Linked DNA regions of Styela clava. The main gene of each other region encodes a partner of the protein of the gene in region 2 in a complex. Links are inferred from orthologs where the notes say so. Each region holds a gene or a part of one and is shown on either strand. Other genes may lie near its edges. The genes, in order: THO complex subunit 7 homolog and THO complex subunit 1-like.

Evidence for each region.
Region 1: the proteins of THO complex subunit 1-like (region 2) and THO complex subunit 7 homolog are in contact, whole or in part, in a cryo-EM structure (PDB 7APK), measured with the Homo sapiens proteins. The link is inferred for Styela clava from reciprocal best matches to the Homo sapiens genes THOC1 and THOC7. Residues at the interface, in NP_005122.2 of Homo sapiens: Leu10, Arg14, Glu46, Gln53, Arg56, Glu60, Ile63, Ile64, Asp99, Asp102, Cys103, Leu104, Pro105, Arg146, Gln151; in NP_079351.2 of Homo sapiens: Tyr47, Gln51, Leu54, Ser55, Ser58, Gln59, Phe62, Gly65, Lys66, Leu69, Val70, Met73, Arg76, Glu77, Asn80, Ile84, Ile88.

What each region holds. Positions count from the first base shown.
Region 1 is NC_135258.1:15,197,921-15,205,548, forward strand, and holds the start of THO complex subunit 7 homolog, read right to left. Parts: upstream 3,204-7,628; 5' UTR 3,026-3,203; coding exon 3,013-3,025; intron 1,237-3,012; coding exon 1,116-1,236; intron 789-1,115; coding exon 674-788; intron 134-673; coding exon 1-133. UniProt on the Homo sapiens protein: Component of the THO subcomplex of the TREX complex which is thought to couple mRNA transcription, processing and nuclear export, and which specifically associates with spliced mRNA and not with unspliced pre-mRNA.
Region 2 is NC_135252.1:8,700,812-8,708,989, reverse strand, and holds the start of THO complex subunit 1-like, read right to left. Parts: upstream 3,034-8,178; 5' UTR 2,815-3,033; coding exon 2,770-2,814; intron 1,935-2,769; exon of another isoform or gene 1,721-1,934; coding exon of another isoform or gene 1,694-1,720; intron 1,409-1,693; coding exon 1,174-1,408; intron 234-1,173; coding exon 96-233; intron 1-95. UniProt on the Homo sapiens protein: Component of the THO subcomplex of the TREX complex which is thought to couple mRNA transcription, processing and nuclear export, and which specifically associates with spliced mRNA and not with unspliced pre-mRNA.

The DNA.
Region 1 (7,628 bases), on a different chromosome or scaffold from region 2:
GATGCTGTAAAACGATAGTAGCCAGTGCATCATATTCTTGTCTGTTCTTTCGTACTAGTTTTGCTTTTTCCAAATCATTCTTACATTTCTCTATCTCATGATGTGCCAGTTCAACATTGTTGTCAATGTCGTTCTTATATTTGTACAAAACATTGAATACAACATATTATGGATCAATAAGCCAATTAAATCTCAGATATATATTTACATATAGTTTTATAATTTTTCTATGCTCAATACAAAATCCCGATCTCCATACGAAAACTGGAGAAGGTACTTATAAAACAGTTGCAAGAAACTACTGCAGTTGCATAGCTAGGCTTCTATCAAGACAACTGCTTTTGCCTAAGGGACAAAGTGTAAGTTCTAGGGGGAAAATATCATTTTTTATTGTCAACATAACTAGTTGACCATGATTATCGATAAAGACACTTATAACAAATAATAAGTCCATCAGACACTCACATAGTTGCTTAAATTGTGCAATAAATTCGTTGTTAACAATATTACATAGTGAATATAATCATTTCTGTTTTATTAATAAGAAGATGCTACCCATTGTGCTTGTTTTGTCACAACAGGGGAAATTCACAAGTTTAAATACCAATATCATAAGATTGATCAATCAAGCCTTTGTATTGTCTTCCCTCTCCCTAAAATCATAGTCGAATACCTGTATTTTTTCATACTTTCTCATCTGCTTTTTATTCATTTCATGAACATAAGTTGCCCTCGTCATTGCAAATTCACTTTGAGATAGAATTGATAGCATTCTTTGTAGTGTCTGACTGAATAAAAACCAGTAGTATAAATTTTGCAGTTTATTATATTTAGGCCAATTTTACCAGGAACTGTGATAACAGCATCTTGTTATTTGCATCTCACTGTTTTCTTTATTAATTGATATGTGTTTTGAAATCGAATGTCATAATACTTTTTTTACTTTCGGTGTAAAGCTTTTTGATTTCTAGTTTTGAGTAATTTTATGTATACTATAAGAAATCCATTATAAAACCACATTTTTATAAGACACTACTCTCAAATATCTTTTCTTTTTCAGAAATCCATTCTATATTCAACTCTTACTGTCTTAGTAGTTAGTACATATCTCTTACTGATCAGTTTCTGAAGATTCAGTATTGCACCATTTCATAAAGAGTTTCATCAAAGTAGTGAATCTTCTTTCATCCCCGCCTCCATCTCCATCTATCAGGAGACGCTTTCGAATTACTTCATCTAAAAAAAAATATTATTGCTTGAAATCTGAAGCAGAGAAAGTGGTACAGGATGAATTTTTACATTTATTCGGAATAAGTTCTGAAAGTAGATACGACAGTAAGTTGCCGTCATCATATCAACCAGTTGATAGTCTCTCATTCAATTATCTGCTCTGACATAGTATGAGAATAGTGAACTCGGTTGATCATATCAAGTCACAACTATGTCTTCCTCTTACAGTCTTAATATGACATCCCACCTACCAATAAAACATACCGGTATCAATGGGTCTTAAAAGAGTTAATTAAAGTCGTTGAGACATATTTCAGTATTCGACAAAGAATTCAAAATTAAGGGGTAAAAATTTTCATTATACTTTATATAGTCAGTTATGTAGCATAGGATAGGTACGGTACCCCTTTGAAATCTCCCATCTAAAAGCCAAAAATTGAGTGAAGAATAATGCAGTAATGTAAGTCTGTATGTGGGTCTGGTATAGTTTAGTACCGGTACCACATGTACTTCTAGTTGGCCTGACTCAACAATTTTTGCATATGTCAATCCTAACCCCCACCCAACTACGTCACCGAAAAAATACGTCATTTCGACATCACAGTGGCGTAATAAGGCCCACCAAAGTATGCGGCTGGTCGTCCAAAACGTGCAGACGATCATCCGAAATCGAGCAAGCTATTTCTCTCGTTTTCGCGTCACAACAATCACGATGGGAGTGAGATGCCATTTCGGGCGATCGTAATTATACTTTGGCAAGCCATATGACGTGATGGTGACGTAATTTTTGGATGGCATAGTCAGGTGGGGGTTAGGAATAACATATACAAAATTCGTTATGCTACCCCCACTGCAAGTACTTGTGGCACTAAACTAAACTATTTTTTGTTTTTCAGGTTACTTCAAAGTGATTAAATGAAGTAAAACACATAAGGAAAAAATCAAACAAAGACTCCGATATCCTGTGAAATAACAATCTTATTCCTATATCCTTGTCTGAAATCAATACCCAAGAATGAAAAACCTCACTTACACCCTTTGTAACCAATTTTTTTCCATATCCAACTTTAGTTAATTATAGTAATTTTACTGTTCCAGTAACTTTAATTACTTATCACAATCTGGACTATAATTTGGCAATAATAGGCTCTAATTTGGGGAATGGAATGGTCTCGCCCACCTCTTCATGCACCCAATTCTGGCAACTTTGGTTGGGCAACTTGGCATTTGACTCCAACTATACCGGTACCTAATCAGCTTGGCAATATGTTTTCAATAGAATCTTCCTTTTATATTTTAATTAACGATTGGAAGATCGATCAATTTGGCATTGGCAACCATTACAAAATTATCAATATGGTGTGGCAAATAATTTTTTTTCTTTTCTAGTATTTATTTATATTTTTTTGTTTACTGTATAGTACCGTATACCCTAAATTTATCGTGTTTTATTTTCACTTAAATAACTTCTCAGTGGTTGGGTGTGTGTGTGGCTGGTGGGTGCATGTGAGTGTGTGTGAAATAACTTAATAATTTTAGGTGAGTAAACACGTACCACTTCCTCTTGGCAAAACCTTCCATCTTATATTTTGTACGTTATAAAACCCTACCTATCTAAGGTTTCGTTTGCTCCCCTGATTTCATAATCAGTTTTTATTTATTTGTTTTTATCCGTCAAATGTATTGTTATGCTGATTATGGAGTCGAAATAAACTTATACTAGACCCTCAATTTCGTACCGGTACCGGTATAGATTGCAAATGTTCGGGCATTTCTGCTTACCATCCGTAGCCATTATCCTCTGATCCAGTTAATGAGTTATTTAATAACCGTTGAACCTTGATGACGTCTTGTTGAAAATATCCAGAATATTTGGCTGCCTTGCACCAGCGGTTCTGCGACTGTAGGGTACCGTACGACAGCACGCGTGCAAAAGTATTGTCAGAGAGTAACGCTGCAAACTGACAAACAGCAACCACTGTGAAGCTAGTAGCAATTTGACTTTTGTGTGCGGCGAAGCGGAAAGGTGAATATTGGCAGCAGAAATGAAGGAGTGTCATAATCTACATCCGAAAAAATGTAGAAAAACGAATTTAGAATACGATCAATGGGAAGATACTAATCATTTACGATAAATTAACATCTACAAAGCAAAAAATAACAATAAATTACATGATAAACAATGAAAAAACAATAAAAATGACACGAATTTTATTTAACTTCCTTCGAAATAGCAGATGAGCAATTCCTAAATCAAGTCAAGTTGTACAGTAAACAAAACTAAGGAGATGGATGACGAGTTTAAAAAATGGGGAGTCAGCGTACCCCCATAGGAGAACATAAGCCTTCCAAATTTTAAAACCTAGGGTATTCTCATAGCTAAAAAACGTCCTTATTCGGAAAATTACCTATAGCTAAAAAAGCTGATTTAGTCAAATTTCAAAGCCTAGCAGCACATCCTTCCGCCCAAGAGGCATCCGATTTGATTATTTATTATTAAAGAGGTTTATCTGAAGTTATTTACACAACTCGAACCTAAGTCATGTTTTTATTAGAATCTAGGGTATTATCGAAGCGAAAATGGCCTATTTTTGAAAAATTGCGTATAGCGAAAAAAGCTGATTTAGCCAAATTTCAAAGCCTAGCAGCACGCCCTTCCGCCCAAGAGGCATCCGATTTGATTATTTATTATTAAAGATGTTTATCTGAAGTTTTTCACACATCTTGAACCTAAGCCTTGTTTTTATTAGAATTTAGGGTATTATCGAAGCGAAAATGGCCTTATTTGGAAAAATTACTTATAGCGAAAAAAGCTGATTTAGCCAAATTTCAAAGCCTAGCAGCACACCCTTCCGCCCAAGAGGCATCCGATTTGATTATTTATTATTAAAGAGGTTTATCTGAAGTTTTTCACACAACTCGAACCTAAGCCTTGTTTTTATTAGAATCTAGGGTATTATCGAAGCGAAAATGGCCCATTTTGGAAAAATTACGTATAGCGAAAAAATCTGATTTAACCAAATTTCAAAGCCTAGCAGCACACCCTTCCGCCCAAGAGGCATCCGATTTGATTATTTATTATTAAAGAGGTTTATCTGAAGTTTTTCACACAACTCGAACCTAAGCCTTGTTTTTATTAGAATCTAGGGTATTATCGAAGCGAAAATGGCCTTATTTGGAAAAATTACTTATAGTCAAAAAAGCTGATTTAGCCAAATTTCAAAGCCTAGCAGCACATCCTTCCGCCCAAGAGGCATCCGATTTGATTATTTATTATTAAAGAGGTTTATCTGAAGTTTTTCACACAACTCGAACCTAAGCCTTGTTTTTATTAGAATCTAGGGTATTATCGAAGCGAAAATGGCCCATTTTTGAAAAATTACGTATAGCGAAAAAAGCTGATTCAACCAAATTTCAAAGCCTAGCAGCACACCCTTCCGCCCAAGAGGCATCCGATTTGATTGTTTATTATTAAAGAGGTTTATCTGAAGTTTTTCACACAACTCGAACCTAAGCCTTGTTTTTATTAGAATCTAGGGTATTATCGAAGCGAAAATGGCCCATTTTGAAAAAATTACGTATAGCGAAAAAAGCTGATTCAATCAAATTTCAAAGCCTAGCAGCACACCCTTCCGCCCAAGAGGCATCCGATTTCATTATTTATTATTAAAGATGTTTATCTGAAGTTTTTCACACAGTTCGAACCTAAGCCTTGTTTTTTATTAGAATCTAGGGTATTATCGAAGCGAAAATGGCCCATTTTTGAAAAATTACGTATAGCGAAAAAAGCCGATTTAACCAAATTTCAAAGCCTAGCAGCACACCCTTCCGCCCAAGAGGCATCCGATTTGATTATTTATTATTAAAGAGGTTTATCTGAAGTTTTTCACACAACACGAACCTAAGCCTTGTTTTTATTAGAATCTAGGGTATTATCGAAGCGAAAATGGCCCATTTTTGAAAAATTACGTATAGCGAAAAAAGCTGATTTAACCAAATTTCAATGCCTAGCAGCACACCCTTCCGCCCAAGAGGCATCCGATTTGATTATTTATTATTAACGAGGTTTATCTGAAGTTTTTCACACATCTTGAACCTAAGCCTTGTTTTTATTAGAATTTAGGGTATTATCGAAGCGAAAATGGCCTTATTTGGAAAAATTACTTATAGCGAAAAAAGCTGATTTAGCCAAATTTCAAAGCCTAGCAGCACACCCTTCCGCCCAAGAGGCATCCGATTTGATTATTTATTATTAAAGAGGTTTATCTGAAGTTTTTCACACAACTCGAACCTAAGCCTTGTTTTTATTAGAATCTAGGATATTATCGAAGCGAAAATGGCCCATTTTTGAAAAATTACGTATAGCGAAAAAAGCTGATTAACCAAATTTCAAAGCCTAGCAGCACACCCTTCCGCCCAAGAGGCATACGATTTGATTATTTATTATTAAAGAGGTTTATCTGAAGTTTTTCACACAACACGAACCTAAGCCTTGTTTTTATTAGAATCTAGGGTATTATCGAAGCGAAAATGGCCTTATTTGGAAAAATTACTTATAGCGAAAAACATTAACATTAATTTACAACGAGTTACGGGTAAAAATTAACCGACGGCTATCACTAACAGGTAGAAACGTTTTCGCAAAAAGCGCATCATCACCGTTTTTGTAAATTTAGAAACGTCGAAACAGATAAGTAAGACAAGTGAACATAGTATTTTGTGGAAATTTCTTGAGGTATTGGGGAGAAATATTATTTTGACCATGTAGAAATGTCATTATTGCCTATTTATTCACGTGTTTAGTATCAGTGTTTTAACCCAAACCCAAATCTGAGTTACGTGAATACTGAACATTGAGTATTCTAAAGATTACCAATTTGCGTTTATTGATTATTATTTAATACGAAAGTAACACGGACACGATCTAAAATTAAAAGCATAGAAATGTGAACAATACGCCTCACAAATATCGCATCCCGGGGTCAGTAATAATAATATTGTTGGTCTAAAATTGGGACCGTTATTTACAAATTGTGTTGCAAATCTTACACAGAATATAAAAATCACAATAAAATTAATTTGTGTTGTAAATGCACTCCTCAATAGTTGTCTTTAACATCTTCGCCGATGTGAACTCAGAATTCTGTCCGAAATATAAAAACCAAACTACGATCATTAATGTTTGCTAGTGAATAATAAAGTGCTTTGATATAGTTTAACAATATTAATTGGAATGTCAGCCTCCGAAACGATCGTGGTGACAACATTTACTGCAGCCTTCGATTATGACAAAATTATGAAATAAAAAAGCAGCATTGTTATGGAGTTTTCAGCCATCTAGTAAAATCCGAAAAAGAAAAAAAAATTATTGCCACAGCATCGTTTCGGCGGCCTATATCCCAATTAGTGTTGTTTAAAATGACAATATTCATTATTCGGTGTTTGTTAAAAATATTCGAATAACTCAATATAAAAAATACGATTGTGCCCGCCACTCATCATGGCGCATGTAAATAATCAATGAATGGCAATAAAAAATCAACTTCATTAACATTAAATTCCAAGTATTAGTTTCACATTTCATGAATTTGATCGACGATACATGCGAACGTGTTTTTGTACATATAAACACTTATGACGCTACTGACATCTGCGAGTTATAGTTCTCTCCAAAATTTATTTTTCGCGATTTTTAAGGTTTTATTTCTAAATGCGGGTATCCGCGGACTACGGATTAATGGTCCATGTTTGAAATAGGACTTGCAAAATATTCACCAAACACCGCCAGGCAAGGAGAGGCGGGCTACACGTAACTGTGGAATTTCGCTGTGAACAATGTATACTTTTTAGTTTATTAACTCTTCCAGACCCTGGAGATTAACCCTAGGGCTTACATTGCACTACCTTTCATTCTCAAAATATTCCAACTGATTCGCCGATTTTAAACGCCAAACTAACGGAGATTTTCACTTCAACGAAAATTGAGCAAAATTTGTAGAAAAGTCTTGAACGTAACAATTAGTGTGTCTAGTAGAGGGTTAATAACTATTCCTAATTAAATATTTTTTATTTAATTTAACTGTAACCCCCGTTGAAAAATCCTGGCTGTGCCCCAGATCGTATGCTTTTACCCCAAAATTCAATAACAATGTTGAGATTTTGCGTATTCAACTTATGATCCATTTAAATAATTTCATAAACTTCAGTGAATTTCTATTCAACAGCCAAAATGTACTCTTCCCCGAACAACTCACTGCTATAGCTTGAGAATAACTATCCAAATCTATACTTTCGAAATGTTTGCTTCTTCCCATCATAGAATTGGTGGTACATTTATTCTTTGAGGTAGATAGGCTGAAAAGTTTCAATAGATTACACCTCTGTGATTACTTGTCAAA
Region 2 (8,178 bases):
GAAAAAAGTTGCTGTTGTTTTATTTTAGTAATAGCAAATCACTTGAAATATACACGAATCAATAAGAAAACAATCAGCTATTATTCAATATTGACCTGCAGTATAAAACTGTGAAGATTTCCATGTTGCTACTCTCTCTTCAATAAAGCAAAACACTGGGTCACATGTGTCAAGAGTAAGGCAATCTAACAAATCTCCTAGAAGGCTGAATGGTAGACTTGCCGAACACATACCTAAAACAGAATCAATTTTATAATAGGTTTGTTTAAAAAAACTTAAATGCAGTCCTCTTGATAAGTTGTAGAAAAGCTGATTTCGGATTGTAATTTGGATTGCTAATTCCTCAAAAAAAGAGAAATGAAAATAACTTAACTGACATTATTGAATATTGAATGAAACTTGGATAGACAGGGTTATCTAATTCAAACCACCGAAAGTCAGTGCCACACGCCAGACTAACTTGAATTCAAATAGTGTTGTAGTAAAAAATTGTAATGAATGAGGTGGCCTAATGGTTAAAGTGTTAGACTTAACTATGATGGCATAGCAGGTTAAATCTCAAATCAAATCCTATGCAGACCAACTCGCCCAAAGTAATGAATTGGGTAAGAAATAGCAAACAGGAAAGATTCCGATCCTTCCAAACTATAGTACAGTAGAGCACAGTTTTACGATTCCAAGATGTCCTGACATTAAACACTCTATTCGTCGCTGAAACGTGGGCGACTGGCATGACAGCAGATGCGTTAAATCGCGCCAAGCTTGTCTTGGTAATAATTTTAACCAATTAGACACGTTTGTCACATGACCAAAATTGTGTTTTTTTGCTAAAAACTCTTGAATGGTACAGTAAATTTTTTTCCGTTTGTAAATTAGATTATTTTTTTCAGAGGAATCCAATTATGATGTTTTTAGATACGCTTCCTTTCAGTTTATTGCGGAACGCCAGTTTACTGTTTTGAGTCGATATGGAGGCCCAGACTGCCTCGTGAAGGCGGGGCACTCACTGTTATACCCGATGTCTCTAAATGTGGGCGATATTTATGGAATCGGAAAACTGTGCCTTTCTGTAGTATCACCTTACCAAGCAGGGGTTCCTTGAGCAGAGTATTGTACAAAGCAAAAGATGTATTGAAACATCATATAAAAAATTTGTGTTATACAGAATAGAACCTTGTTTAGCAGCAACAACAGTGAGTGAAATAACTTTCAATGCATCATTTGCCATTTCTTTATCCCCATGAATTTCTTTTATTGTCTCCTGAATGAGATTGGATACTGTAATACGAAATGCTTGATCTGCTGCCAATCGTTTATCTGCTTCAGTGCCAGAGATAGTTTGAAAAACACTTTTTATTGAAACAATAGAATCAATCTTTCCACTTGATAAATCTTCGAAAATTTCATTCTGCATAAACAAATATAAAGCGTTCACAGCCGTTCAGTAACAGTTTCATATCAGCATAATATTGAGAAGTTGAATAGAAAAATATTAACAAAACTGAAACATTCAAAACATCTTTATGCTGCAATTTCCAATGAGTTTACTTAAAAATGAGTAGTTTCAAAATTACAGAATTAATAAGGTATAAGACGTCTCAAAAAAAGAACTTCGCAAATAATAAGTAACACCATAACAAATTTTTCAAAATTCGATCAGGTTAGTTTTATGTGGTGAGTTGATAGGCCATACCTGTTGTTGAGAGCAATGGTACTGCATAATTTTACAATAAGGAAAGATTCTCCAATTCCAAGATGTCCTGACATTTGGTTCAATAAAACAAACACTCAATTTGAACACTCTGAAACGAGAGCATCTATCATGATGGAAGACGCGTCAGATCGCGCCATGCTTGCCTCAATCATAATCTTACAGGTAGGCTACTTAAACCTGACACGCGTCGGCGGGCACACGACCAAAAGTGCTATTTTTTGCTAAAAACCCTGGAATGTTTGATGACATCCCATTTAATTAAACAATTATTTTTTGCCTGTAATAAATAGTTCAGAGCGTTCCCCTTCACCCAATCATTGAAACATCTACTCACGGTTTTATTTTTTGTTTTTCAGGTTACTTCAAAGTGATTAAATGAAGTAAAACACATAGGGAAAAATCAAAAAAAGACTCCGATATCCTGTGAAATAACAACCTTATTCCTATATCCTTGTCTGAAATCAATACCCAAGAATGAAAAACCTCACTTACACCCTTTGTAACCAATTTATTTCCACATCCTACTTTACTTAATTATTGTAATTTTACTGTTACCGGTAACTTTAATTACTTATTACAATCTGGACTATAATTTGGCAATAATACTGTAATAGGCTCTAATTTGGGGAATGAAATGGTCTCGCCCACCTCTTCATGCACCCAATTCTGGCAACTTTGGTTGGGCAACTTGGCATTTGACTCCAACTATAATCAGCTTGGCAATATGTTTTCAATAGAATCTTCCTTTTATATCTTAATTAACGATTAGAAGATCGATCAATTTGGCAATGGCAACCATTACAAAAATATCAATATGGTGTGGCAGAAAATTTTTTTCTTTTCTAGTATTTATTTATTTATTTTTGTTTACTGTATAGTATACCGAATACCCTAAATTTATCTCGTTTTATTCATACTTAAATAACTTCTCAGTGGTTGTGTGTGTGGCTGGTGGGTGCATGTGAGCGTGTGTGAAATGACTAATAAAATTCTGCAATTTGTTTATAAATGACCGCATGATCATAGTCAACAAGCTGACAATAAGACTGACTTACCTTGAAAGAGGACAATGCATCCTGGAATACAAAATCAGAGGCCATTGCAAAAAAAAGCTTCCTAAGTCTGTAGGCCAAAATGAGTCGGAATTATATAGGTGAGAAGATCTCTACAAAATTATAAAACAGCCCAACACCACTGTGGAGCTAGCAGCGAAACACGAAGAAAATTTCTCGAATTTTGACCCCGGATATTTTTCTGACTTTTGACCCCAAAAAGAAAGTTTTTTTTTTTCAACTTTCGTTGAACAATTTTTTCAATATCCACTTATTTTTGTACCTCTTCACAATATTATTTGCATTGATGTTATTCTTCGTTTAAATATATTTGGTAGTTAACCACCGTGTTTCCCCGAAAATAAGACAGTGTCTTATTCAATTTTCTTTTTTTTTTCTTTTCAGGGGATGTCTTTTATTTTCATTCATCAAAAACAGAATTACAAAGTAGAGAATCACGAGATTTTTAAATATAAAAAATATACAAATCGATATCAATTTACTTAAATAACACGTTTTCCTCTCCCATACGTTTTAGACTGATCATTTAAAACGTGCTGGAGAGATTTCTTGATATATAGGTCAAAAAAAATTTGCGTTATCTACAAGGACTCAGTGGTTCTCAACCGGGGGCCGGTGGCCCCCCAAAGGGGCCACGGAGCAGCTCAAGGGGGGCCACGACACGAGTTTAATAATTGATTAAAAAGCGACTTCGTTTGCATACTTTCCCTTTAAAAGTAAATTCCCGTTGCCTCAGTTTCATTATCTGAATAGGTAATTTCAGGTCACAGGGTGTATTCACTTTCTTGTGCGTGAATTGTTTGATCATAATGGAATTAGGAATCTATCAATCAAAATAGTTCGTTGGTAAGCAGTCTAACCTGCAGACTGGTTTCACTATGGACCTTTCCCCGACCTTTGACCCACGAAAAATTCTTCCTGTACTTCATCATTGCAAAATTTTCGGGGCTTATTTTAAGAGTGGTTTCGCGAGTTGGCGCCTGTAAAATCGGTATAGGTTTCAAACATAGGTTCAACAAAGGTTTATGATTCATCGCATACAACAATCTGTTTTTTAAAAGTACCGGTAAAGAATTTTAGCCCAGTCTATCACAGCTATTTCTACAGGAATTTTTAATTCCTGTCTGAGTGAGAAAAGTGTCTGAGCGGATGCGAAAAGGGAGCATTGTTACGTCACTTTTTGCATTTTGCCGATTGGCCAATGTCACGAAGTAAACAAGGAAGTCGATGCTCGGGGAAAGGTCCATGGTGAGAGATAACTGTCGGTATCGTATTTTAGACTCAGAATCCTATATTTCTAATGCCCAAAATACGAAAATGGAACGACAGTTACGTTGGCTTTGGCTTTACCAAAGTAAATGACACAAAATGTGCGCAAGTCCTGCATTTCTCGTATGTAATGAGCAATAAATCATTACGTCCATCTAAACTCCAAAACCACCGTGACAAAAATTATCCCAAGATAAAAGCTGTTTATATAAATGATATCGGTGCTTGGCTGCCAAGTGAATTAAATTCGACAAGAAAGCAACATTGACTATGCCAAGTACCACTATTGCATGTAAAAAGTATTTCAAACATATTTGCACTGATCTTGCTACCATGAAAACAAAATTTAGAAACCGTCTTGATGTTGACAGTGACATTCGTCTGGCTATATCACAGACGGTGCCTAATATAAGGAACCTAGTCAGACAGTCCCAAGCACAAGATTCCCATTGATTGTTTACTGAAAAGCTTTGACTTTCTTGACTGTGGTTTGTTTTTGCATTTCATAAAAGGTCGTAAATACATAATACCATCCAACGCGTCTAGTTTTTTAAAATGGGGAACAGGGGGGCCACGAGTGCGAAAAGCCAACGGAAGGGGGCCACGAGCCATAAAAGGTTGAGAACCACTGTACTAGGTCTTATTTTAAGTGGAGGGCTTATATTAAAATCATTCTTAAAATTCCGGCTAGGTCTCATTTTCAGGGTAGGTCTTATTTTCGGGGAAACACGGTAGTCGACGGTTATTTTTTATTTCGTTCTCAAAAATCATACGGCTGGGATGGGTGGTAGCTGCCTTTGATGACCTCCCAGTCGATACCTGAATAAATGCTGTGTAATTTATCATTTTAATATTTATTTGTATTGTGGTTGACAAAAATATTGAATTCGCTTCCTCTCTCTCAGATAAATTCTTTTCATACATACCCTGAGAATTTTATAATTGGAATAATCTCTTATTGGACACGTCAGTGTACATAACGATCGTTTCAATATTATGTTGTTGTTTTTGGTATTTTCTCCTTCGTCATGATAAAATCGCTTTTCTCTTCGAATACTGGACCAATTGCTTTGAAATTTTCATTTTTTTAAGATTGATTTTTTTGCCATAAGGTTATTACTTTTTTTTAGTCCTAAATTTTCTATGAACCCTATGGGATCCAATATTTCATTCAAATATTCGCTGTATCACTTTTCAATCGTGGGAACACGGATTTTAATCCGCCAAGCGTGACGACCGATTCCGAAAATTCTCGCTACTCGAAACTCGGAAGTTTTTTGAGGTTACCGGTACCAGCAATGATAAAGATAAGGTAAGGTAAACTACTGCAGTACTGCTTCGCTTGGTGTCAAAATAGGCGTAGACTGGGGTATCTGCTGTGACGTGTCCATATATTTGAGCATAGCTCTCTTGTACTTATAAGACTGGTTTTGCAAGTTGGCACCTACGAACTAGTTTACATTTTTCAACGCATCATTTTGATTCGAAATATTCAATCAATTTGAAAGTACCAACTAATACTAATATCAAGTCCATGCTTCCGAAAACAAATACCTGGCTAACTAATCCCATACCTGACCTGAAAGCGTTAGGAATACGCTTGGCACCGCTCCTCTGATCAGGGTACCCTTTGTGGGTTCGCAAGTTCGAATCCCGTGGCAGATAAATATGTGCGATAGGGTTTACTGGACTCGTCGCCGCCGTAGGGTGGTCACGTAACTGCTGGTCGGTTACGGCTTCCCGTATCATGAAGTCCATTGCGACACAAAGGTTAAGGCTCGACAACTTCGATTAGATGCAGTTTCTATCTCTAGTGATGCTTTATTTAATATTATCGAAATTGCAGATTAAATTGATCACGACCCAATTAATGAAGCAGCCCATTTTAAATATGGCCATATCGGCCATGGATTGAATATTTTATGCAACAGAAAAGTCTTTACATATTCGTTGAAAAAGCCGGCTCTTTTAACGAGTGGCGTAATCGCGACGACCTGTTCAGAAGCCGTTTCTTGGGGACTTCAAGGCGGAGAAGATGTATTTTTGATAAATATACTCGATATGTATTTTATTGTTCCTGATTAAATTTTACTTTCTGGGATTTTATAGCAGATCTTGGGATTTTTCTAACGACGATAACGAATTCGCAAGAGCGCAAAAATCTATATCAAAACTAAACATATTCGGTCAGTTTATAACATATATAATTTATAATAATTGGTAAATGGATGTGATGTCACCGTATATTGCTATATCGTAGACCGTCTCAGAACTGCCAATCGCCCGTTCACCCTTCAGCTTCAATGCCCACGTTAATGAAGACTTTAGAAAACTCTGTTTGATTTTATTCTCAGATTTCCACGACACACAGAATACAAATCTTAAAACATTTATCCACACTAGCTTTTCATTGAAAGATATCGAGTCGTATTTATACGTCGATCATAAATCTAATTAAATGCTGTAAACGTGAGCTCGTGATTCACGTTATAAACAGAAACTCCTATTATCTCAATAAGAGTAAATATGTACATCGTACGGATGGGAACTTAGATATAATTATTTCAATCAGTGCCAAAGGTCTTGAGAATATAAATTTTAATTTGATAATGACTGGGTGGAACATGTTATGTTCTTAAAAATGGTGTAATTTGATTCCTACGAAAGTCTTTGTTCGAATTTTGGGAAAAATTAACTTTGTTTTGATGATTTAAACATGAAATGGGTACATTTGGGGGGGGGGGGGTAGTTGCTATAAGTTGACCTCACATCATTGTGTGCAGTGGGATTTTAGATTAGTAATGTTGTCGTAAGTCGTCTAAACCGCTAGTTACTTACGGTTGAACACAATAAAATTAAAATAGAAAAACATTTTAAATTTTCGTAGTTTTCATGGATTGAATATTACGCGACAGAAAAAGTCATTATATATTATATGACTATTTTAACGATCGCGCAATCGCGGCGACCATTTCAGAAGCCGTTGCATGGAAATTCACAATTCCGATTTTAAAATCCCCCTTTTGAAAATCCTGGCTGCGCCCCTGCCCGTACCCGATAGCTGTTACGGTGTAATTTGGCAATTAAAAATTTGAGAACCCCCCTTTGAAAATTTGTTTTCTACGTCCTCGTCCCTGATTTACATGTTCTTCGTATTTACGGAAAATGTTAACTATTGAGCAACATTAAATATAACTTTGGTGTCAGCGTGTCATCAGTAATATCCGACTCGGTTTTGGCATAACTATTTGTTTAGAGCTGTCGTCTAACTCTAATATCATATATTTTCGAAACTATAGATAAATTCATGTTATGGAATTTATTTCTTAAACTGTTTAAATCGGAGGAGGTAATGTCAAAGTTGAGTCAAATATCACTCGTGAACAAATATAAAATTATTGCTTAATTCCAACAAGGATCACCGCTCGTAAAATTTTTTATCAGACGAATCGGCTGCCTCTTTGAATTAAATTTGTTTCTACGAGGTGTGGCTAAAATGAAACGGGATTGTCGTCACAGATTGCGCAACATGATTTACCACCGGTAATCAGCACTTTTACAGTGTGGCGTAATATGTGTTCTTTGTTTAACAGCTGTTTTGACACAATAGCGCAATTATTTTTGCTTTTTAGGAGCCATAGGTGAATGTGATTAATTGCTTGTTGAAAAAAAAATTGCTTTGCGAGATCTGATTGAGTTTTTTGGCGATAGGGGATTCAATTGCAGAATGACGATTGAGCGAAGAATTAACATTAAATTTTGTGTCAAACTCGGGAAAAACGGCGAATGAGACTTTGAAGATGTTGCGTGATGTTTATGGAGATTTTTCCATGTCCAGAACAAGAGTTTTTAAATGGCACAAGCGATTTGTGGCAGGCAGGGAAGATGTTGAGAATGATCCAAAGTCAGGAAGGCCCTGCACTTCCACAACTGATACCAAAACATCAAAAAGGTTCGGCAGTTGGTTCGCAGTGACCGTCGCTTAACAACTCGCGTCATTGCCAAAGAAGTTGGGATGGACAAAGAAACGGTCTGCACCATTTCGGTAGACACTTTGGGAGTGCGAAAGGTGTGTGCCAAAATGATGCCAAAGGCTCTTGAGTTGACTGAGGAGCAGAAAGC